Linked DNA regions of Caenorhabditis elegans. The protein of the gene in region 3 interacts with the protein of the main gene of each other region in a pairwise test. Each region holds a gene or a part of one and is shown on either strand. Other genes may lie near its edges.

Evidence for each region. The genes of interacting proteins can lie anywhere in the genome.
Region 1: the proteins of C54E10.6 (region 3) and rfip-1 interact in a two-hybrid assay, tested with the Caenorhabditis elegans proteins (one large-scale study listed by BioGRID).
Region 2: the proteins of C54E10.6 (region 3) and syd-9 interact in a two-hybrid assay, tested with the Caenorhabditis elegans proteins (one large-scale study listed by BioGRID).

The regions. Positions count from the first base shown.
Region 1 is NC_003280.10:5,883,173-5,893,658, reverse strand, and holds rfip-1 (FIP-RBD domain-containing protein), read right to left. Parts: upstream 7,292-10,486; 5' UTR 7,205-7,291; coding exon 7,163-7,204; intron 4,200-7,162; exon of another isoform or gene 3,952-4,199; intron 3,536-3,951; exon of another isoform or gene 3,396-3,535; intron 3,173-3,395; coding exon 3,008-3,172; intron 2,773-3,007; coding exon 2,108-2,772; intron 2,061-2,107; coding exon 1,882-2,060; intron 1,797-1,881; coding exon 1,432-1,796; downstream 1-1,431.
Region 2 is NC_003284.9:7,215,188-7,222,560, reverse strand, and holds the start of syd-9 (Zinc finger protein syd-9), read right to left. Parts: upstream 4,292-7,373; 5' UTR 4,094-4,291; coding exon 3,956-4,093; intron 2,385-3,955; coding exon 2,334-2,384; intron 2,218-2,333; exon of another isoform or gene 1,986-2,217; intron 1,589-1,985; coding exon 1,462-1,588; intron 1,416-1,461; coding exon 944-1,415; intron 886-943; coding exon 770-885; intron 72-769; exon of another isoform or gene 1-71. UniProt on the Caenorhabditis elegans protein: Plays a role in regulating synaptic function, probably by modulation of endocytosis. May be dispensable in muscle for normal locomotion. May be involved in post-transcriptional mRNA processing, in parallel with unc-75.
Region 3 is NC_003283.11:18,806,782-18,812,193, reverse strand, and holds C54E10.6 (Protein MNN4-like), read left to right. Parts: upstream 1-3,464; 5' UTR 3,465-3,532; coding exon 3,533-3,713; intron 3,714-3,926; coding exon 3,927-4,084; 3' UTR 4,085-4,125; downstream 4,126-5,412. Other genes in the region: C54E10.3 (G-protein coupled receptors family 1 profile domain-containing protein), read right to left, coding at 347-534, 645-742, 901-1,189.

The DNA of each region.
Region 1 (10,486 bases), on a different chromosome or scaffold from region 3:
TTGATAGCTTCTGGTTTATTGTACAGACAAAATACTACAGCTCTCTTGTTTTCCATTCACTTGTTTACTGCCCAATTCCGTAAGTCATAAGACTAGAGACAAGCCATTTTTTCAAGATAAACGGAAAACAGCAGGTGAAATGAAGTTAGTAGTTGTGATTGAAAGTTACTTTAGAGAAGAAAACGTTGGTGATAAGTTTATAAGTTAAATAAGCAACGTGCATGTTCTAATGGTAAGCAAATCTTGATCATAATCATTGTTCACAATTGGCAACCTTATTTGGTTGAGTTCTTTCATAATAAGTTCTTATCGACAATATTAATTCTGAGAAGGCTCAACGAAAGGCCAAGTTTAGCCAGCTCTTCTTAATAATTGAGCAACGCCAATCGATTCAGAATTAAAAATATTTATTTGAAACGGTAATTTACTTCTGATTGTGAGAACAAAATAATCTGTGAAAACACAAAGATTGTTCGAATAAAAAGTTTGACATGCAACTCAGGATTTTTCATTTTTTAATACCAATTTTTCCTGGTTTCCTGTTGAGGAACACGCAAAACGCCCACACCCTTCCCTATTCAACTGATTTAAAGAATCTAACGACGCATATAAAAACATCACAAAAAACCTAAAACGGGAACAGGTAACGATGCAGAATTGGAGCTCAGTTCTGTAAATGTCAATGAGCAAAAATTTAACGATACTAATATGACTGCGTTTTCCAAAATATAGTTCAGGACATAGTTAAAAAAAAACAGTTTCTCGGTAGATAAAAAAAAACTGTAAAATATTTGGAATACGTAGTTAAAAGAAAGTTTGAAAATCAGCAGGCTCCGTAGAAAAGAAACGATAGACATGATTATTTCCAAAATGAAAATGACCAGTTGAATTCTTGTATAATACTCAGTTGATGAAGAAGTATTGCATGTCTCATCTTCTCCCTTTATAAATTTTTTTGTTCTGTTTCCATTCAAAATGCATGGTTTTGAGAAAATGCATGTTTATTCTTCGTTTTTGTATCTTCTTCTTCTTTTTAAACTCTTCTTACACAGACAGAAATTTTAGTGAAACAACAATAAAAAGCTCGATTGAATTCAAAAATTGGTGATCGGCACGGAAAGAAGAGAAGAACTATCACTAACCATGAAAATGACAAGAATTTTCAGAAAAGACAGACGGAAAATACAAACACATGAATATAAATTATAAATATTCGAGGGGGGAAAAGTCGGAAAAAATGATGGGCAGAAAAATGCTATATATCACAAAATGTATGGATCATCAATGGGGTGCGAATGGAAAATTATCGTTGGGCAAATTGAAGTTTTGAAACAAAAAAAAATGTGTGTATCACTGGGGTAAAAAGGTCCAGAAAAAATGGGGGGTCGGAGGGGGATCTCAGTCTCAGATGTACATATTATGGATGGTATTTTACCCGTTAACGGGATCTATCTGTGACGTGGCACGCAATTCGAAAATACTGTTGGAGGGGGTAAAGGGGACTAAAAACGAGGAGATTGTACAAAGAAACATTTGAAGTAAAGCATTTTGAAAATCACAGGGATGGAGAAAAGAAAAAAAAAGACTAAATGTTGCATGCCACGTCACAAGGAATTGAGTGCCAATCGTTGATGACGTCATGTGTCTATTCATCCCCATCGAAGAAACGATGAGGGAAGGTAGGCGGAGATTCTTGCTGAAAGTGTCGGTGATGATGACTCTTCTGGAATCGATGATGACGACGACGTTGGCGAGGACTGAGATTCTCCGGCGCACCGTCAACTTGGAGAGGATTCCTGGAAAAAAATACAATCAGGCTGGACAAGATCGAGTACGACTTTTTTTTTAAATTCAAAGAATATTGTAAAATTCCACTTACACCTTCTTCTCCGATCTCAAGGATTTCTGGATGCCTCTCAATGACACGCATCAGAATTCCATTGATGTAGACTCGAAGCTTCTGATTGCAGATTTCCTGCTCACGAAGAGCATCTAGAAGCTGAGAAGAATCACCACCGGCAAGTTCATCAGCAAGTGACGGTGTATCGGCAATGAGAGATCTGAAGAAAAAATGTTTTTGAATGAAAACTTTGGAATGTCAACTCACCTTCCCCGTTCTACAGAAGTAGCCAATAATTGATCAGTCATTTCTTCTTTTTCTTTCATTAGTTCTGCTACTTTGGCTTTCAAAATTTCAATCTCTTCGTGCATATCTTCACGATCAGAGATACTTTCAGATCGGGGACCATCTACTTTTCTCCTTAATTCTTCTGTTTCCAAAGCCAACACTTCAACCATTTCACTGCTGGAATCAATATCTTGCTGAGCTTCTTCTTTGAATTTTCTGAATTGTCGTTCCAATTGAATTCGTTCTTCTTCCATTCCTTCTACAAGAAGTTGAGCTTCTTCAAGTTTATTTTCAGTCTTCTCCAATTCATTTCGAATTCTCTTTGTTTCTTCATTTGATCTTTCAGCATCTTTTTTCACAGAAATCAAATCTTTCTCAAGCATTTGATATTTCAAATTCCAACTTTCAGTTTCCAATTCTTTTTCTCTTTTCAACCTTGACATTGATTCAGTTCCACGTGCCTTCTCATCGGAGAGCAATTGCTTGAATCGATCCTCATTATCAGTCAACTGTTCCTCCAAATTGTGCATTCGTTCTTTCAGCACTGAATTTTCAGTTTTGAGGCGGGTACGTTCATCCGAGAGGGACATGTTACGCTCCTCGAGCTCCGAATAACGCTTCGTGAATGAGTTGAGCTGGTTCATCTGGAATATGATAGAATTTGTAAAATAGTACATGGAATTTGACACAAAATGCTCACTGCTTCAAGTAGACATCTATTCTCCATAACAAGATTACAAAGAAATGTTTTTAATTTGAAATGATTAATTAAACTTTAATCCATCGAATAAGGAAAGCACGTTAAAATATTTATTTTTGTACATTTCCAATGTATTCAAAATAATTTTTAAATGTTTTACATTTTACTTGATAACTCACTTGTGAACTGAAATCGTTGAGAGCGTCCTGATCACCTCCAAATGCAATTAAATCACTTTCTGAAGAGCTTCCACCAAGACTATCTCTACGAGACCGTGTTCCGTATAACCTGGAAGCGACCGACGCGCTGCTCGCCGAGCTGCCTTGTAATCGCATAGGCGAGTCCTGGAAATGAATTATGGATTAGTTAGCGTTTCAAATAAGTGAATATTTTCTGTCTTTCTTTTAGAATTTATAGGAAACGAACGAAAATGTAAATGAAATTAGAAGTGATTGACTGATCGAGAATGAGTGGAGAAGAATAGAAAAGAAGGAGGAGGAAAAATGGATGGAACAAGCGGAAACCGTATCAAATTAGCATCTTCTCAACATTTTCTAGTTCCGTTCTTCCATCTTATCTCTTTTAATTCTTTGAAAAATTCCTCCAAAAAAGCTGGAAAAGTAAAAAAAAATTGGGAAAGGTGGCGTATGTGGGGGCCAACGGAAGCCAGGTTGGCACAGCTGCTCAAATTGTGCTCACTTCCTGTGAAGCCCAATGCTCTAGTTGGAGTACTAGCAGCTATTGTTAGAAAGAAGAGCATTATGTCGTATTTACAAGCACTTTTTTCGTTCAACTATTTTTTTTTGAAAAGAGATGACGAACAAGGCAAAAACGAAAAATTCTAGTTGTTAAGGGATTTGAACTGGTCTACCCGGATTAATTGCCCCGATTTAGGGAGTGGAAAACATGGGATTAGAGACAAGATTAAACTAAATTAATTTGATTATATCAAATTAAAATTTCTTTGAAGATCATTTTCAGAACATATTACTCATAGGTATCATAAATTTTTTTTAAATCTGAAGACGATTTCAAATTTGTTTTTTACCAATTTTTGCTAATTAAAGGATACAATTACAACATACAATTACAAAAAGATTATATGTATTAACTCAAAACTCACATCAATCAGATAATGCTCTTTCTGGAATTCTTCAATTTTGAAGTGTGGCAGTGGTGACTAGGCAAAAAATATTAAAAGAGGTGGGAGAATAGAGGTGGAGCGGATTGCGAAACACCGAACTCTGAATCTCTTCAGCCTCGAATAATATTTATTTTTAAGCTGTCCCTGCTTCTACTGAGCCGCTCCTCGCGGTTTCTATGGATACGGACAGAGCAGACGCTATGAAATGACGCACGTGGGATTTAGAGCTAAAAAAATGTAGAATGATGTGAGTCAATGAAACTAAATACCTAAGTACTCGAAGGACGTTGTAGTTTTAAAACAAAGTTCCCCTCTAACAAATATGTTAGAAAAGAGCTCATAAAATGTCATGTCTTGTCATGTTCTTCTGACAAGTTTCTGTGCCACCTGAGCAGGCGACGATAAGAGTGATAAGAGACGCAGATATTGCTCGGAATGACTCAATTTCTTCACTTTTCCAGAGAGGGGGCGGGAGGGAACAAGCACTTCATTTCTTGACTCATAATGGAACCGAAACCTTTCACGTCATTACGAGCTTTGTCATTACAGAGAGGAACAAAAATGAGAAAAAAAATCTGAAACAGATGATTCAATAGAAAAGTTCAAAAATCTCTAACAACGACATTTGAGACCACGGCACACAGAGTGTGAAATCACCGGAAAATGAGAGATTAACGGATCAGAGAGATCAGTTTTAGTTGAACAGAAATAGTAGCGAGGAGAACAATTTTCCCTGCTGAAGTTTTCGATTTTTGGAAATAACGAAAGACAGAAAATGAGCGTAGAAAATAAATAAATGTTATTTGGACGATATAATTTGAAAGTGGAGTTGTATCAGTTGGAATTTTTTGAAGTACACTGATCATGGTAATTCAGTCCAAAAATTTCAGTTCAAATTTTGCAACTGTATTTGGTCAGTTAAGAAGGTTTTATAGAATTTTCTACTGGCGCTTTCTATCATCAAAATCATTCGATAATTGCTCAAAAATTTGATAAAGTAGATAGTAGTTTCTTAGTGTCTGGAGTTTCAATATCATAATTTTCGATTAAACCGTACACCATCTAGTCTTATATTTTGAGTCTCAAATGCAAAAATAATGCTTGAAACAAGACTTAGACTGCGTGATCTAGATATCTAAAATCTCACCTCGTATAGTTGGAACATTCGAGCTTCTAATTATCAAAAGAAAGAAATAACAAAAATAATGAATTCACAGAACTGGGAATACTTGACGACAGTGTTCACCTCTTTTTGAAAAGAGACTAAACTCGGGCAATACAAGAGATATCAAGTGACGGGAATGACGATTGCGGCAAAAAGGCTGCCTTGTCCGGAAAACGACGTATTTGTCGTTCCGCCGACGGTTTTCCGCGGACTCTCTCTGCCTCTCTCTGTTCATCTATATTCCGGAAGAGAACAAAAACATACATAAGCATACAGAATAGACAAACGTTTTTTGCGTGGAAAAGATGAAGAGAAATATGACGAAAAACGAGTGGATAACAAAGAGCGGCACACGGAAAAGCCTCGAACGGTTTGCAAGGCTTTTTTGAGGAAAGAAAATGGACAGTGGAAGAAGAAAAAAGTGCGTGAGGATTACGGTAAGTGGTTTGTTGGGATTTTACCAGGAACCGGACTACATCATGAAGCTTCACTAGAAACGTGCGCGAATCAATTTACAGACGTACATTTTATTAATGGAAACAACATGTAGATGGTAAAATTTGCAGATAACTTTTTCTCCATAAATAATTCATGTAAATGATTTTTCTAAAAATTTGAAATTCTCTGAAACTGTATTCAAGTTTTCAAAAGAGAATGATTATGTTAGAAATTATAAAAGATCATTTTTAAAAATATTAAAACTTTTATAGCTCTGAAAACCGTGTGACGTAAAAAATTGCGCTGAATTTGATGCTAACGGAATATAAAGATTATGCAATTGAAACCTGAAAAATTAATTCCACAAACAAAGTTGTTGATAGGAAAATACCGCAAGTTTGCCAAATTTGACCGTATTCTTTATCACGTTTGTCAAAAATTGAGATTTTGTATTCCAATATGGCAGTTCGTTTTATATAGCTATAAATTTAGTCAATTCTTGTGGAAAAAATCAGCTGTTGAATTCTCAAGTTGTTTTTATTTATTTTTTATATTCCCTTCCTATCAAAAGATCGACAAGACGATGAGCATTCTTACACGAAAAACAAATAGATTAGAACCAAAAAATTCCGATACTTTTCCCATTTTTATTGTGACGTGGCAACTGACTCATTTCCTATGACGTTTTAGACAGAAAAAAAATACAGAGTTCAGAGTAGATCATCAGAGATCATCAACAAAAGTTGTTTGACAAACAACACAAATTGGTGGGAACTTCTAGGTGAAAACTGAAATAATGTTCCACGTGACATGTGAATTCTAGACACTTCTCCCTTTTTTGACACTATAATTATGTGCTAGAATAATGTCATAGAAAAGGAAAAGAACATGGGTCTTCAGCTTCAGCATCTGAGAAAGAAAAAGGAGTGTATCGAAATACGGTTTTCGAGTGGAAAAGCTTCACTTGGAATAGAGTACACAAATTGGAGAGACTTAGAGACGGCGAGCAAACACTGTAGGGGATGGTCTTTTCAAAGGTGGGAAGACAGTTTTTCAGTGACTCATCCCTGTCCCAAATAGGTGGAAAAAAGTGGAGGACATTGAAATTGACATGAGGGAAATATGAACGATTATAAAGGTTACTGTCGCATGAAATGCATTCAAAAAAGATTGATAGAACCGTTTTTAGATTTTTTCATACAACAAATCAAAAGAAGCAAATGTGGTGTCCCTTGAAGCATAAATAAAATAAACTGTCCTTATTTATTGTGAAAGCTGAATAATTTGAAGGATTCTTTTTCAGGTGTATTATTTTCAACATTTCAGCTATTTAAAAAAACAATATCATCGTTAATGAGAAAAATTTGGTTAAAGATCGCCGCCCTTTATGTAAAATGGTAAGGAGAAGGCTCTGGAAATTCACATGTTTCTGATGAAAAAACGATTAGATGTTTAAAATGCATTTTTTAATGCTATTTTGTGAAGCTGCCTAGAAAATCACTAAAGTGCAAACTTGTATGACTGACTTTACTTAACCCCATTGGAATCAATTTCCCTCCGTTAATGTCAATATTGTAGAGTACTTACCGCATACTTGGACTCCTCTTCTGACACGAATTCAGTAGTCATTGTTGGAGAAATAAATGAGTGACAGAATGCCACCAAATCAATAGTTCAGAAGGTAATAGTAGCAGACGAGTGAATGCGGCAAATTGTACTGTGTTGAGAAGAAATGAGAAAACGAAGAGACTGTTATCAATTTCGAACCGCCTTCTTCAACTTTCAGGCCTGCGTCTCTCTAGCTTCAACTAGTCTCTTCAATTTTGCCAGTTTATCTTTTCAGCCACGGTCATCAGGTTGAGGTTGTAAACCCTCAATACAAAAAACAACCGAAGAAGAAGACGTTGAAGATGAAAGAATTGCGAAATCACAAGTGAAAAGAGAGGGAAAGCGAATCCGGTTTTTGGATAGTCATTGTATGTGTTCACTTGTTTTGTACGTCTTCTATTGAGCGCAATTAATCGATAGTTTTTTGACGGGTTTCGAGAAGCAAAGAAAAAACAATTGCAAAGCTATTTCAAATGACCAGTCACACCCAAGTAATTCTTGTGATAAGAGGAGATGATTAGACGATTAGGAAGTGAATTATGGGGTCATGATGTTTCTTGTAGAAGAAATTGGAAACATTAAAATTTTCAATAGTGAAACAAGGAACCAAAAATCTGTAGCGAATACTGAAGTTGGTACAAAGAGGAAGTTGAACGTATAGTCTCCCTAAATCGAAATGATTTATTCAATGTTCATACATAGAACCTTCAATGATTTGTGATTTAGCTCTAAGAGCTCAAAATGCATGGCTCTTCGAAACACATTTTTTCGAGTGATCCCATTGTTTTGTGGCTTTTCATCAACTCTGAATTGGGAAGAATGCTTTGAAAATAGGTTTACTTCTTTTTGAGTTAATAGTTTTAATTGCTAAACTTTAGTATTAGTGAGAAGTATACAGTAATTAGGAGCGGCACCGGCAAATCCACAAATTAAAAGAATCACGTCTATTGTTATAAGAATAAAAGGAAAAAGAGAAAAGGATGGTCATTTAAAGAGTCTGAAAAGTGGGTGAAAAGTGGATGAGCGTAAGATGAAGTATAATTTGAGATGGATTGGGGACAACACTCATTCCACTTTACGAAACAGGAAAAAAAACCAAAACTATTCTTTGAAGATAAAGGTCTCTAGTACAATTGAAATGCGAACATTCTATCTTGCCCCGCATTTTGTTGTTATGTGAACAAGGCTCAAGTTACTTTTACGGAATGGAAAATAGCCCGAGAGGATGAGAGGCGCAGCTTCAGGAGCAGGTAGATTCAATGTGTACTCGGGAAACTGAACAGAGTTGAAGGAAATGGGAAGGGAGGGGGAGAACGAGGTAAATGAGTCAAATGAATGCAACTATGAATACATGTTACATGACTCAACTGTAAATTATACTAGTTTTACGTACATGGCCTAGTTTGAGTGTGGAGCTAGATTTTCTTACAGTTTGGAGTCTTGAAAATATTAAAATGTTAGTAGTTTTTTTTGTTGAATGGAATTTTGCAGCTTCTCACTTTTTCATACAATAAGAATAGTCTTGCAAACGATGAGCATTTACAATTTGACAACTTTTGAAATTTCAATGTCAGTAAAAAATATTTTCAACAAATATAGATCCAAACAATTTTTCATTATTAATAGCTAGCTGTTTTTATGTTTTTGTAAATTGGGAAGCCTTGTCAAAACATATAAAAATACCAGTACAATCCGTCATACAAATATTAGGAGATGAGCAGTGTTCTGCCTAATAGAAAATTAGTCAATATTAGTTTTTCAAAAATAGATACCATTTTTTTTGCAAAATTATGAAGGAAAAAAGAATCATACCTCGCGGGCAGGCGACTCATACACGTCGGTCATGACGCTGTCGTGGTTCTGATTCAGGAGCCCAATGATGTTTTAGAAGATCGTTCGTTTCGATTTGATTGAGAGTTAAACTCTGAAATATTTCAAAATTTGATTTGGAAGAAAGTGGGAAAGCTATAAAAAGGACGACGGTTTGAAAAAATAAAAAGGGAATTTGAAAAAGATGGAGGAATTCGTATATGAAAGGAAAACTGTTAAAATGTGCGAGGAAGACTGTAAAATGAATGTGTATGTACATGTTGGAACTACCGGTACAAGAGCAAATATCAGGTGAGAAATATAAAAAATGAATGGTAACGCGAGAGAGAAATAGAGAAATAGGGGAAAATAAGCCATTTTTTAGAGGAAGTTAATGCTCCAATGCTTCAATGTTCAGGTATTTTTAGAGTGATTACAGGTTGGAATTCGAATTTTTAGAAAAACAAGCATACAAATTTAAATAATAGATGCGTTGTAGAACATTGACAAATTATCCGACTTTTGTAATTTTTTTGTGGCAAAATGCGGTCTAAATAAAATGACAAAAAGTTGAATGTGTGAACCAACAAAAGAAGCACTTTTTCATGATCTAGATGAAGAAGTGAGCCAACTGCTAGAATAATAAATTTTATAGCGGCTGTGACGCCAAGTGGAAGAAAAAAGAAAAACAAAATAAAGTAACCATAGTGATAACAGAACGTGATACCCATAATCAACTAGGTTATTCAGCTGTCTGTCAAGATCAAAAATTTAAGAAACGAATTTCTAAGAAAGAAATAAGAAAGTTGGTGAATAATTCGAAGCTCCGCCTATCTTGGCTCACAGAGTCTTCCAATTTGTCATTTCTCAAGGAAAAGGAGTGTGAAAAGTCATTCATCCGAACCCGTTCCTCCCCGTTTCCATTTTTTTGGTTCAAGTATGTATACTATAATTTATGTGTGAATCGAATCGTCGAAACGGGAAGAATGAATGGAATAAAGTGAGTGTTGAGGGTATTCGTGGTGGTAGTGGACAGAAGAACGGAAAGGACATTTTGCCCAAATACAACGACTACTAGTTTTTGAGGTGAATATAGAGGAAAAAAGAGAGAGAAAATACTTCTGAATTGGGGGGAAATAATAGGTAGTGGTCAGTTGGGTAGGTGAAGAAGTTTAAGTGGCACTTGGAAATTTGAAACATATGAGAAACTTTTATATAATTTTTTTTTAACAAAAAGAAAATTCGTAGAACAGTTAAAACACTGAACGCAGTAATTATTCCAAGTCTTATAGTTAGGTTTGAAAAACATTAATGTTTTTTTCAGAAAATACTAGAAAAGTTCAGTACAAAAAATATGTTTCTCTTTTGTGTATTCTCATCATCTTAAACAGTTAAAAAAAACTTATTTCTAGTACTTTCAGACTTCCTAACATTCGAAAATATTTATTTCTCATTTAGTTTTTTTTGTTTTTTTTTTAAGAAAAACACTCTAAA
Region 2 (7,373 bases), on a different chromosome or scaffold from region 3:
CGACGTACATTGAAAATCGATGCGAGCACGCATGAGCACACAGATGGAGTTGCTCGATAGAAACGATGATGGACCTCCTTGCCCAACGGCGGTCCTGTGTTTTCAAAACCGACTTCTGGATATATATGGACACGACACACACCGACATACAAAGTTTTGCGCAGTTTTCTTGACTGCAGTCCACTCCTCTTCCACCCGTCCGTCACAGCTCACTATCAATTCCGTATGAAGAATATTAAAGAAAGTGAAGAGGCTGAGAAATGAGAAGACTGGTTTCGAAGTGGTCTTGTAGAATAACTCAAAAACTCAAAAACTTCAAAATTCACAAACTGACAGCTGTGTTCTAACCATTTTTCATCAGTTCTGTCAGTCAAAAGAAATGGGAAGAGAACAACGGTATTACAGTAAACTAAGATGGGCGACTAGATGAATGACCCTATCCTTCCCTCGGAACAGGTTAAGATCACTTTACACTTCTCCACACTGTCGTTTTCTTGTCTTTGGCGTCCCGACAGGCAATGAAGGAACGCCACATGGCAGTTGCTGCACATAAAAGTTTATGCGAGGAGTTGAATTGAGTTGAATTCAAAAAAAAAAAGAAAACAAGATGGTTCTTAGAATCCTTAGTTTGACAGTTCTAGTTTCAAAGATAAGATTTTATAAGAACAATGAGAATGAAAATAAAGAGAATTAGAAATGAAAGTATATAGGAAACAAAGTTTAACTCGTACGTTCTATTCTCAATTAAAAAAAAACTAATAAAACTAACCCGTGTCTGGAGAAATACTAAGCTCTCCTTTCAGCTCACGAACTACTTGCTGGAGTTGTTGGTGATTCAAGCTCAACGTTGATCCAAAATCAAAACCAAGGCTGATAAGAACAGACCTAAAAAAAGGTTTTTGTTAAACACTTTAAGAATGTGAAAATGATTAAAATTACCTACCTGTCACTTTCAGATGAAGCATCTTTTGGCAAAAGGCACATCTCCTCAGGTGTCTCTGAGACTCCCACGGATGGAGCGATCGTCTCCAGAATCTCTTTGATATCTTTTGGCGTAGGTCTAGATCTTGGTGTCACTGTATGTGTTGCCACAATCTTCGAAACAACTGGTGTCGGTGCTGATTTGGCGATTAAATTGTAGTCCGGATCTTCGAGTTCCATTTTAATCGTCCTCAGATTGTTGTTCACTGCATGATTGTTGTTGTTGTTATTATGACCGTTGCTACTCGCTAATGCACTAGATACTGTGATTACGGATGGTGTTGCAGTGGAGGTAGTTGGTGTTGATCCGTTTGTTGTTGGACCATTATCTTTGGTTACTATTTTTGGTGCTTTCTTTACAATAATATCATCTTTTGCTATTGCTTCGTTCTGCTCTTTTTTGTGATGTTTTAATATGTGTTTTGTTAAATTTCCTGGAAAATAATTGTTTTAATTTTATCAATCTAATCAAAAACTAACCTTTTAACCTACTGGATTTGCCACAAAATTTACAGACATAAGGTTTTAATGCTGTATGTACTGATCGATGCTCTGCTAAGTTGGACCGAAACCGAAAAGCTTTCCCGCATGTTTCACATATGAATGCCTGAAATTATTAATTCATAAAAAAGATTATACTTTGCTATGGGTATATGAAACCGGTCTGATCCTAGCTGAATATCTTGTTCGCGGATTATATAAGACATGAAGTCTCAATTTTTAATTTGTATTACAAGTCTATCAAGAACTGTAGTCCTAATCCCTAATCTCTTTCAAATACTTTTACATATGTCACACACAGGCACACATTCAATGACGTCATCCTTTTATCTTGTTCGTTTGATTGTTCTCACAACCAGCTTCTGCTCTTTTTCTATGGTTTTGTGGTTTTGCGATTTCAGATTGGTTTCAAATGAATCAAATCAGAAAAATGTGGGTCTGCGCGTACACACTGCGCACACAGAATCGAAATTGATTGAAAAATTTATTGCGCCCTTCTCTGGTACTCTCTATTGTGCATGCTTTTTCCAATGGGTTTCTACAGCTTTTCGAGTAAACGGAAAGGAAGGGGATAGGCAGCCATAAACAATCAACACTGGTCGGTTTTCATTACCGTCCGGCAGCAGCAGGCTGGGCTCCTTGAAAACGAGGAGGGCATGATGGTTCTAGTGTGTTTGCGTGGAGCACAGAAACGCAACACACGGATGATTAAATTTGCGTGGAATGGCAGCCACACGTTATTTCCCCGCATTTTCGTCTATTTCTGCTCATTCTATACTGACGGTCAAATGAGCATGATATATGGCTTTATTAGACGCGTCTTTCTTATCATCTTGATTTTGTCTACTTACTCGATCCATTCCCACTGGTGCATCGGTTGACTTCAATGAGAGGAGTACAGACTGAAAATGGAAATGGAACGTGAGAAAGAGTAAGCGGCGAAAAAGACAAGATAGTTCAACTGGAAAAAAACTAGGCGGAATATATCGCTAGAGCGGAAAATACCCCGTGCACCGACAAAAAGGAACAAGTAGATGACAGAGCAGCGCGACAAGATGCCGGAGGAGGAGCGAGGGACAAAGTTTCCGATGGCAAAATAGTAAGCAATGTGGGCGAGACGGACGGAAAACGATGCGATTCACCAAAGCATCTGGCCCCTATCTTTCTCCCACAAAACACAAAACTACCATTGAACCATCTGGGTGAAAATGAAAATGCGACTGCGATCAGATTATATATCGGAAGATGCGATGTTGTACAGTAAATGGATGAGATGACATTTTCGCAAAGATCAGGAAAAAGAGTGAACCGGAAAACCCCGCTGGTCCAGAGGTCAGGTGCCTTGCTGCGCTGGTCGTCTTATTTTCGATGAGAGAAAACAGGCAAGTATGTAGGAGAGGAAAATGAGCACACACCTCGTAAACAACTAGGTCCCGCCAATTCTGGAAGCAGTTAGCGGTGCACACCACTACTCTATGATCGAATGTCAACAGAACCACTACAGAAAAATCTAAAAAGCTTAGTGTCTTGCTTATATGTATCTATGTAATATTCTTAAGATTTTATTGTTTTGGTAAAATGTATCGTAATTAAAAATATCTCATTATATCTCATACCGGCTTCTGATGTCTTAGTTCAATCAAGGGGTTCTTCAAAAGTACATTCTTGTGGCAAAGCAGCTGAATAAGATTAGAAAGCGAGATCGAGCATGAGCAAAGGTGTGGTTTCCGTTGTCAAGGTCTACGTCCTAACTATTTCCTTTTTCTGTGCAGTTCACACAAGTGATTAATCTGGTGCACTTTCTGATAGTAGGATCAAAACTAAATGAGCTACCAGTCTACATAATAACATACTTAAAATTCTAATCTTGTCAGATAAACCGTGGATGCAATGAATATTTGAAAGTATAAATCAAATATTTAAAACTTAAGGTCAAAAAAGAGTATAAAACTCAATAAAACACTGAAAGACGGTACTACAGAGTGCATTTGTTAGATTCTTATGATAATATCTTATCTACCAAAGCGAACTATGCGCGCCAACTGCTGCAGTGTAACTGTAGAACTGTCCAATCGCTAACGAAACATACCGCCTGGCCTCTCTACTGGGCGAAATACGGTATGGGTGGGCAACTGTTGTGCAGTATCGTATAGGCTCATAAACTTTTGTGTTGCACAATCGAATGGAATACACAATCGAATGGAATACGACAGATATGGTTTATGGAACAAAATACTCTCTGATCTTCTAATACAATTATAATATGACTCTCGCTACTGGGAAAACTACTCTAACTTGATGTTCTAGAATTGTACTTATATTCATCAAAGTGCGCTGCCTATCTGATGCGAGATTTTCATAATCGAAAAGTTAGCGCACAAAAATAGAAAATGAGCGAATTTGGCCTATTGGATCAGATAGCGACAAATAAGACAATAAAAACACATAAAAATGATGCAAAACTGTGACTCACTTTATCGGTATGAAACATTTGCTGATGTTGTTGCAAGAGTTTTGTACTTGAAAATGACTTCGGACACTGAGGACATGTCAGACTCTCTTCTGTCATCAGAATCGTTGCTTGTACTAGCGGTGATACGCACACAGACATCCAGGATGGTCAACGACTCTGTTTTCTTTAACGTCAGCTTTTCTTCAACCTGTGCCAACGTTGATGTTTTGTGAATAACGATTTAGTGAGTATGATTGGAGTGAAGAGAGGGACCCTGTCCACAAAATAGATGGGTGCCAGGAAAAGGTAAAACGTGCTCCTGGTAGAAGGAGACGATGAAAAGGACGGACGGAGGGGGGAGGAGAGTGCCGACCGATCGGACAGGACGGGCGCACAGAGAGAGGGGTGGGGCTCCGAGCTATTCCTAAGGGGTGGAGCGACAGAAAACGCCGGAGCCGGAGAGAGCTCAACTCGTGGACGTGGAGGGCACGGAGCTCTACAGTGAATAGAAGGGTGACCACGTCTTCTTTTCCAAACAGGGAAGGCGCTCCACGACGACGATGTGGACGATAGAAAACGAAAGACAGGCAGGGGACGTGGAGGCTCCGCCCTATTTTGCATAACGTTCTGGCTTGCTATGGGGTGCCTACTCAGTATCCCGAGACGAGTCTTGAAGCTCTCTCTGATTCATGCGGTCACTCGTCACTTGGCGGTCTGTCTACAGCTAGCTCGTTTCCTAGTCGGAATGGGAGTGTGGAGCGAGTGAATGTGTTGGTCGAGGAGAAGCAGCACCAGAGCTCAAGCCTTTTCCGCCGAGCACACTGTGCCAGCCGGATACGGCACAAAACTATTCATTATTCGGGATATTTCCTACAAATGAACATGGATACAGAACTAGATTTTTGCAAACGGGTTTCATTTTTGTATTTGAAGCTAGCTATCAAAACTAAATCCGTTTAATAAAATTACTTGATTCAATTTTCATGTTTCAGCTTGTCTCACAAACACATTATTACACTCTCAAACTTAATTTAATATAACTAATAAGAAACTATACTCAACAGCGTAAAACATCTGGGCGAAGAAATTGCTTTACAAAAAAACTCATAATATTTCATTTCTAGATTTCACAAGATCTGTCAGTAACAAAACGAAAAGAAAACCGACAAGAAGAGAGGAGGGGGAGTTTTGGCGCGGTAGATGAAGAAAACATGACGATGACAGTTGGCGAAAACAGGCGAGCAGGTAAATTGTACACAGTTGCCGTGCGCCGTAATCACCAAAAAAATCAATGAGCGGATAGAGAGGGAATAGACACAAGATAGTGAGCCTGTGCGGTTGAAAACTGACACCCATTAGAAAACCCGCAAAAACGGAAAGCTGTAACGGACGATACGAAAGATGTTGGAAAAATACAAAAAATCTGACTGGTGTATGTTGCAACATGTGGTTCGTGTTTACGCTTCTCAGTAAACCTGTGAAGAGGTCACCGGCCTTGACTGAACACTCGACCGTACGTACTTTTGTAAAATAATGCCGCTGTTTCAACAAAATTCACAATATAAAACTTTTATTTTTAATACTGAAAAAAATTCCCACCAAAAAAAAGATCAACTGCGTAGTCTATCTCATGACTGTCATGAGCATAGTGCATGCCGCGGCGCTTGTCACTAACCATTTCTGCTTCTACTTTTCATTTCCTTTCTCTTCTCCTCTTTCCACTCCCATTTTCACATTTCCAATTTGGAAACCAAACAGCGGTAAAATAAAACGTGTGCTAAGGGCTTCATCCTGTATGTCAGTTTGTCGTGTCCCTTCTTGCAACACTTATCCATCGCACCGTGTAGGCGGATCTGGACGTGACAAATTGGTGAGACCTGGTGAAGCTAGAAGAAGAAAAATATTCAAAGGGGAATGAAGAGACGAAAGAGCAGGCGAATTGTGGAGACATTCTGAAATACAGATAAACTATGTGTTTATGCTCTCTCTCCACTTTCTTTTTTCACTCGTTTTGCTTCTCTCGCTTGTTAGTCTCTGCTGTCCGGCAAGTCCGACGATAAACATGTTGTGATCTATCAGCTTCACTGATGAATTCACCAAATCTACAATTTGACCAAATAGGAAGTGGTCGATTTCAGTCAGAAAAAGGGATTTAGAAGATATTAATCATGTATTGTTGAAGACTATGTGTCTAATTCAGTGCGAATTGTTTATTTTACGGCATGAATTTACTCTCAAAATTTATCAATTAACATTTTGAAATCCTAGAGGTGGGACAGCGCCAGTGGGTAAATTGTTAAAAACTCAGTTGGCAAAATATCATAGTAAAATCTTTTCAGAATTTTTCAGAAAATTATATATTTTGTTTCAAAAAATGGTAATCAGTTTTTTTTTGGTAGTCGTTGATAATAAAATATCCTCAAATTTTATGGTCTGCTTATGTTTCAAATAATAATATTCGAACATTGTAGCAATTCGAAAATGCAAAAGTGCAAAAGTTTCCTCATTTAAAAAGTGGCAAAAACTCAGTAATTGCTAATTTTTTTGACTGTCAATAAAAATGTTTCCTTTTTTTTTTTGAAAAGTTTTACTATGATATTTGGTCATTTTGGCACTATATAATTAATTTCAACAAATTTTCACTGGTGCTAATTCATTTTTAAATTGAGGAACGAACTAAAAATTAAGAAGTTCTAGTGAAAAACCTTTCGAAACCATTTTTCTTTTCAAAAATTCTCGCACTTCTTTTCCCAATATGTCGGTTTCCTTTTCTTTTCCGGAGACACTGCTTTTCCCTTGCCATTCTTCTCACAAAAACCGATGCGCCGTAATCTTCCAGAGTACTTGTCGGAAAGTAAAGCTTTGATGCAGGCAGGGACCGAGTAGAGGAGAAAACGACAGGGAAGCGAGATGCCCCCGCGTACACCCACGAAACGATTCTAATAGCCGGTCCGTCTCGGAAAAGTTGAGTTCTCTTCGTTGGCGGCCCAGGCACGACCTCCCCAGAGCTAGGCAATTGTCGACAGGCAGAGACGATTGCAGTGAGCAATCACATGATGACAGGCTGACTGGAGCATTGTGGTTATCCATACTCTGGGATTAGTAACAAAAACACTGCCAAAAACAATTCTAATCTTTTTCTACTTTTTTCAGTTTTTCAAAACCGAAAAACCATTCCTAATGTAAAACAATTTTCAAGTATATTCTTAAGAGAAGGGCATCAGGCTCCATTGAGCACAAAAGGAAAGTTATTTTCTGTCTTTTATATTTTTATGGGTTGTAGGTTGTATGTAGGGAAGCCGGTAGTCGTACCCGGTTGTCAACCTTTTTCTATTCACCCACCAGAAAAGAAGGAAAAACGAGATGAAGAGGAAAGGAAAAGGACCTCGTTGCGCGAGAGACGGACCTACTTTTCCATCTTCTTCTGTCGACCGCCAGT
Region 3 (5,412 bases):
TTTTCGTGATTTTCAAGTTTCAAAACCATTAAATTTGAATTTAACACATTAATATGTCCCAGAAAACCATAAAACAAAAAGTTTCGCCACAGCGGGGACTCGAACCCAGGTCTTGTGATTGGTAGTCGGTGAAAATCCCACTGCGCCATTTGGACACTTTTCTTCAAAAATTGTTCAGAAATTGATTTTTTGACGGTTTTTTTTTGTTTTTTTTCATAATTTTAAATCGAAAAATAAAAGTTTTTGAATGAAAATACGATGTTTGGTTTTATGAAAAAAAATTCAAAAAAAAAAATTAAATTTTTTCAGAAAATTCCAAAAAATTTTTTTTCCAAAATTGTCTCACTTTTGAAACCTCGGATCCTCCGCACAATAAATATTATCAAATTGACTATCCAGCCGTCTCCCGGTGATAAGAATTGGGGTCCATAACTGGAAGCACATGGAAATCAGCAAAATCGTGCACAAAATGCATTTGGTGCGGAATTTCGAGTGTCGACGGAAGCGGAACGGAAAGAAAATGTAGCAAAAACGCTGAAAATTAGTTTTACAATAAAGTTCTGAAAAAGAAATTTTAGAAAAAAAATGTCTTTTTTGGAATTTTTTATTCAAAATTTTTTTTCCCAATTTTTTTAAAAACTCACATCTGCATACATTGCCACCCAAGTCCAGTGAATAAAGCATGACGATGAATTCACAGAAAACGCGGTCATTTTGCATACCCAGACGCCAGGAATTGTGTCTGTAAAAAACTACGTCGCTCCGAAATTCCGCTTGGTGGAAAATTAATTTTCCACCAAATTTAACCAAATTTTCTGGTTTTTTCCTAATTTTTGTTTAACTAGACACCGTTTTTACCTTATTTTCTTAGTTTTTCACTCAAAGAATCGCAAAACTCACCATAAATCACATCGCTATTCTCCACAATTACACTTGCCACCAAAGTACCCAAAAGTACAAAGTTCCCAGCTAAAATCGCACTGAAAAATGGCAGAAAATGCACATTTTTGCCAGTTTTGCCGTGAATATACAAAAAGCTTAGAAATATGATAAGTAGCGTGAAAAAACCAACGAAAAGTACCGAGTAGAAGAGGATTTGCGACGAGTTTTGCCATTCGTCGAGATAGGTTTGCTCATCGGTGAGCATTGATTGGTCAATGAAGGAGATCAGTGGGACTGAGATCGACATGCTGAAATTTTAATGTTTAGACTAAAAATTTGAGAAATTTGAGAAAAAACTATTCAAAAAACTGAATTTGTGGCTGTAAATCAAGATTTGTGATTAGAAAATTCGAATTCCTTGCCTAGAAAAACCTATATACCCTATCAGGGGGTCGAACCTGTGCCCTATTTCACCAAAGCCAAGCCACTTACCTACTGCGCCATATGGGAATCGCGTGGCAAAAAAGGCGCAGCGCGCGCCTAGCAGCATGGCGCAGTGGCTAAGAGGCTTACCTTTGGTAAAATAGGCCACAGGTTCGAATCCCATCGGGGGTACATATATTTTTTTAGGCGGAGAAATCGAATTGTTTACTTTTAAACTTAGAAAATCCACGTGGAAGGTGGAATTTTGAGTTAAAACTGTATACTTTTGACAGTTTCAACAATTTTTTTACAATATGCAAATCGAACTAAATGTTATGATCTCTGCAAAACCTTCATATTTGCAAATAATTTTTTTCAATGAATTTTTTTACTCAGCGTTTTTTACTTTCTCACTTAGAAAAAAATATATACCCTAGCAGGGGTTTGAACCTGTGACCTATTTCCCCAAAGGCAAGCCTGTTATCCACTGCGTCAACCCCTTCCTTCCTGGCTACTTCTCCGGAATTGCGCGCGCGCACGCATGGCTAAGTGAGTAAGAGGCTTGGCTATGGAAAAATAGGTCACTGGTTCGATTCTCAGGTAGGCTGTTTAGTTTTTTCTAGGTAAGAATTTGGAATTTTCATGGCTTGTGAGCTGAAAATTGGAGTTTTTAGCCATTATTTCTTCTTTTTTTCTAAAAAAAAGAATTTTTGAAGTCAATTTTAGTTTTCATATTTTAGAAAAATAGTCAAATGTACACCAATGCTTGAAAACTAGGAAAAAACTGAAAAATATCCGGAAGAGTGCTTGAAAGTGAAAAACAAAGGGATTAGTGGGAATTTTTAATTTTTTCGCAAAATTTTTCTCAATTTTCATAAACAGCTGTGCTAAAAATCTGGAAAATGCAGGAAATTGAATGTGCTCGGTGGGAAAAATTAGGAAACATGAATTATTCCTAAAAAGTAACAAATAATAAGCTAACACGCAATTATACACATTTTTTGCTGCTTTGGTGGCTTAAAAATGACGTAAATATAGCTTTTATTCAAACAAAAAAAATACATTTTTTCTAAAGATTGCGAAAAAAAAAAATTCTGGAAATTTTGAAAATTTCGAAAAAAATTTTTTTTGGAAAATTTGAAAATTCAATTTTTTTTTAATTTCAGGATTTTTGCTTAAAAACCCACAAAAATATGCTAACTCCAATTTTTATGCAATTTCCCTTCCTGAAAATCTAATTTTCCACTTAAAAACCACACAAAGAACACAAAGAAATCCAATTTTTTTTTTGGAAAAAAAAAAAAATTCTGAGATTTTCGCTCTTTTAGCCTATGCTGCATAATAATCCTAGAAAAATATCGGAAGCCTGACAAGAAGTTTCCAGAAAAACGTGACAATTTCAGCTTCCGGGGGGTTTCACACATTATTTTCTTTTCTCTGGCTATATTTTCGAGTTACATGGGAAAATGACAAATTTTTAACTAAAAGAAAGCAAAAAACAAATTTTTTTTTGAGAAAAGTGATGTGCAGCAAAAAATGCGGAAAATTTGGTTTTTTTTTAACTTTTAATTTTCCAAAAAACGAGGTTTTGCGTTGAGTTTGGCAATTTCAAATTCAAAAATTCGAATTTCTCACCTAGAAAAACCTGTATACCCCAACCGGGGTTCGAACCTGCGACCTATTTTTCCAGAGACGAGCCGCTTACCCACTGAGCCATGCTGGCAGGCGCGCGGTGCGCCACTTTTGCCACGCGGTTCCCATGTGGCGCAGTGGGTAGGTGGCTTGACTTCGGTGAAATAGGTCACAGGTTCGAGCCCCGAACTGGTTTACAGGTTTTTCTAGACGAGATTTTTGAATTTTTTAGTTTAAAACTCTGAAAATCGACACGAAATCGGGTTTGCTGATTTTTTTTTCGAACTTTTCATTTAAATTCCACCAATCTTTGGGTCTTCACAACCATAAATTTAATTTCCCGTAAATAAATTAGTTCTCCTTCCGAACCAAGCCACCAGCTGACACCAACGGCTGTGTTGCACTTCTCCCCGTCTCGCACCGTCTGCGTCTCCGCATGCTCTCTAACTCTCTCCCTCGGAGGCTGAATCCCAAGCCATCTGCTGTCCGCAGAGTGCTCATTCCTCACTTTTGTATTGATTTACTGAAAATTTGACGAGTTTTCGCCAGAATTTTGCTGGATTTTCACAAAACTTCCTGTATTTTCAGCCCAAAAATGTCTGAAATCTCCATAAAACGTGCACATGAAAACGAAAAAGATGCAGAGGAAGATATGGAGCCAGCAACTAAAAAAATTAAATCTGATGACGTCACAGAGGAGCAGGAGAAGCCTGAAATTGTGGAGAAAGCTGAAAAAGTGAAGAGCATGAAAAAGGAAGAAGCTGGCAGCCTGAAATGTGAGTTTTTGAGCAATTTTTGAAAAGAAATGGGTTAAAATAGACTGAAAATGGATGATTTTAAACTTTTTTCTAAAAATTAAAATTTTGAAAATTTTGATCAAAAAAAAAATTTTTTTTTGAAATTTCGAAAAAAAAAATGTTTGAAAAATTTACAATTTTTATTTTTTTTCCTATTCTTCATCAGAACATTTGAATCAAAAAAAATTCCAGCACCACCCAACGATGAAATGGAGTCAGAATTCACACATGTGCTCAATGAGCTCTCAAAACAGAAAGAGACTATCAAAAAACTGCTGGACGATTTGAGAGCGGACAATAAGAAAAGGAAGACACACAATATTAGAACGATTTTCCAGAGAAAAGATTGAAAATTTACTTTTTTTTTGACTATAAATATTTATTTTGCATATTTCAATTTTTTCAGTTTCAACAAAAACCGAACATTTTCAGAGCTTGCGACTATGAAATTCGAGTTTAGGAGAGTAGATATACCAAAGACAAATTTAAAAAAAAACACAGAAAAAAATTGTGCCACAGTGCGGACTCGAACCCCGGCCTTCAGATTGGTAGTCGTCGAAAATCCCACTGAGCCATTTGAGCATAATTTTTAAAAATCGCGGAACTACATTTTTTCAACAGTTTTTGAAATTTGAAAGACTTATCATTGAGTTTTCAAAGTTTTAGATACCTAAAGTTACTGGAATAAATAAAAATTCTCAAACTTTGATACTTGGAAATGAAATGTAAATGAAAATTGCTTCCGTGAGAATTCGGAGAAGTTAATGAAAAGCAACAACAACATATTACCTTAACATTTTTCCATCCAAAAAACCGAAAAATTAAACACCTTTTGTCAAAATTCAGTTCAAAAATAAGCTTTAAAAACTTTGAGATCTAAAAATTCAGATTTCTCGCCTAGAAAAACCTATTGTCACTCTCGTGGATCCGAACCCCCGACCATCTGCGCCAAAAACAAGCCTCTTACCCACTGCGCTGTAAGAGCACCGCGCGCGCAAGCTGCATGGCGCAGTGGGTAAACGGTTTGGCTATAGAGCAATAGGGGACAGGTTCGAACCCCCGGAAGGGTATATAGGTTTTTCTAGGCGTGAAAATTGAATTTTCAACTTTAAAATTGAAAAAAATCTACTTGAAGATCGAAATTCTCGAGTTTACCAGGGTTTGGCCTAATTTTTATGGTTTTTATTTGAAATTATTTGTAGAAGCCTGAGTGTTTTGAGAAAAACACATAAATTCCAAAAATAACTTGCAAAATAATTTCGTGGATTTTATGAATTTCACTGTTCCATTAAGTTTTAGGCAATTTAAAACCCAAAAATTCAAATTTTTCGCCTAGAAAAACCTGTAGCCACTCTCTGGGACTCGAACCCGCGGCCTTCTGCGCCAAAAGCAAGCCTCTTACCCACTGCGCCATAAGTGTACCGCGCGCGCCTGCTGCATGGCGCAGTGGATAAGAGGCTTGCTTTTGGCGCAAAAGGTCAGGGCTCGACCCCGAGAAGGGTATATAGGTTTTTATAGGCGGTGAATTCAAATTTTTTTGTTTAAAACTACCATTTTGAATGGAAAAGTGACTTTTTTCCAAAAAAAAAAAACTAAAATTTTTATATTTTCCAAGTTTTAAGTATTGAGTATAGGTTTTTCTCTGTGAGAGGTTCAAAATTCAAACTTACAATTTTCT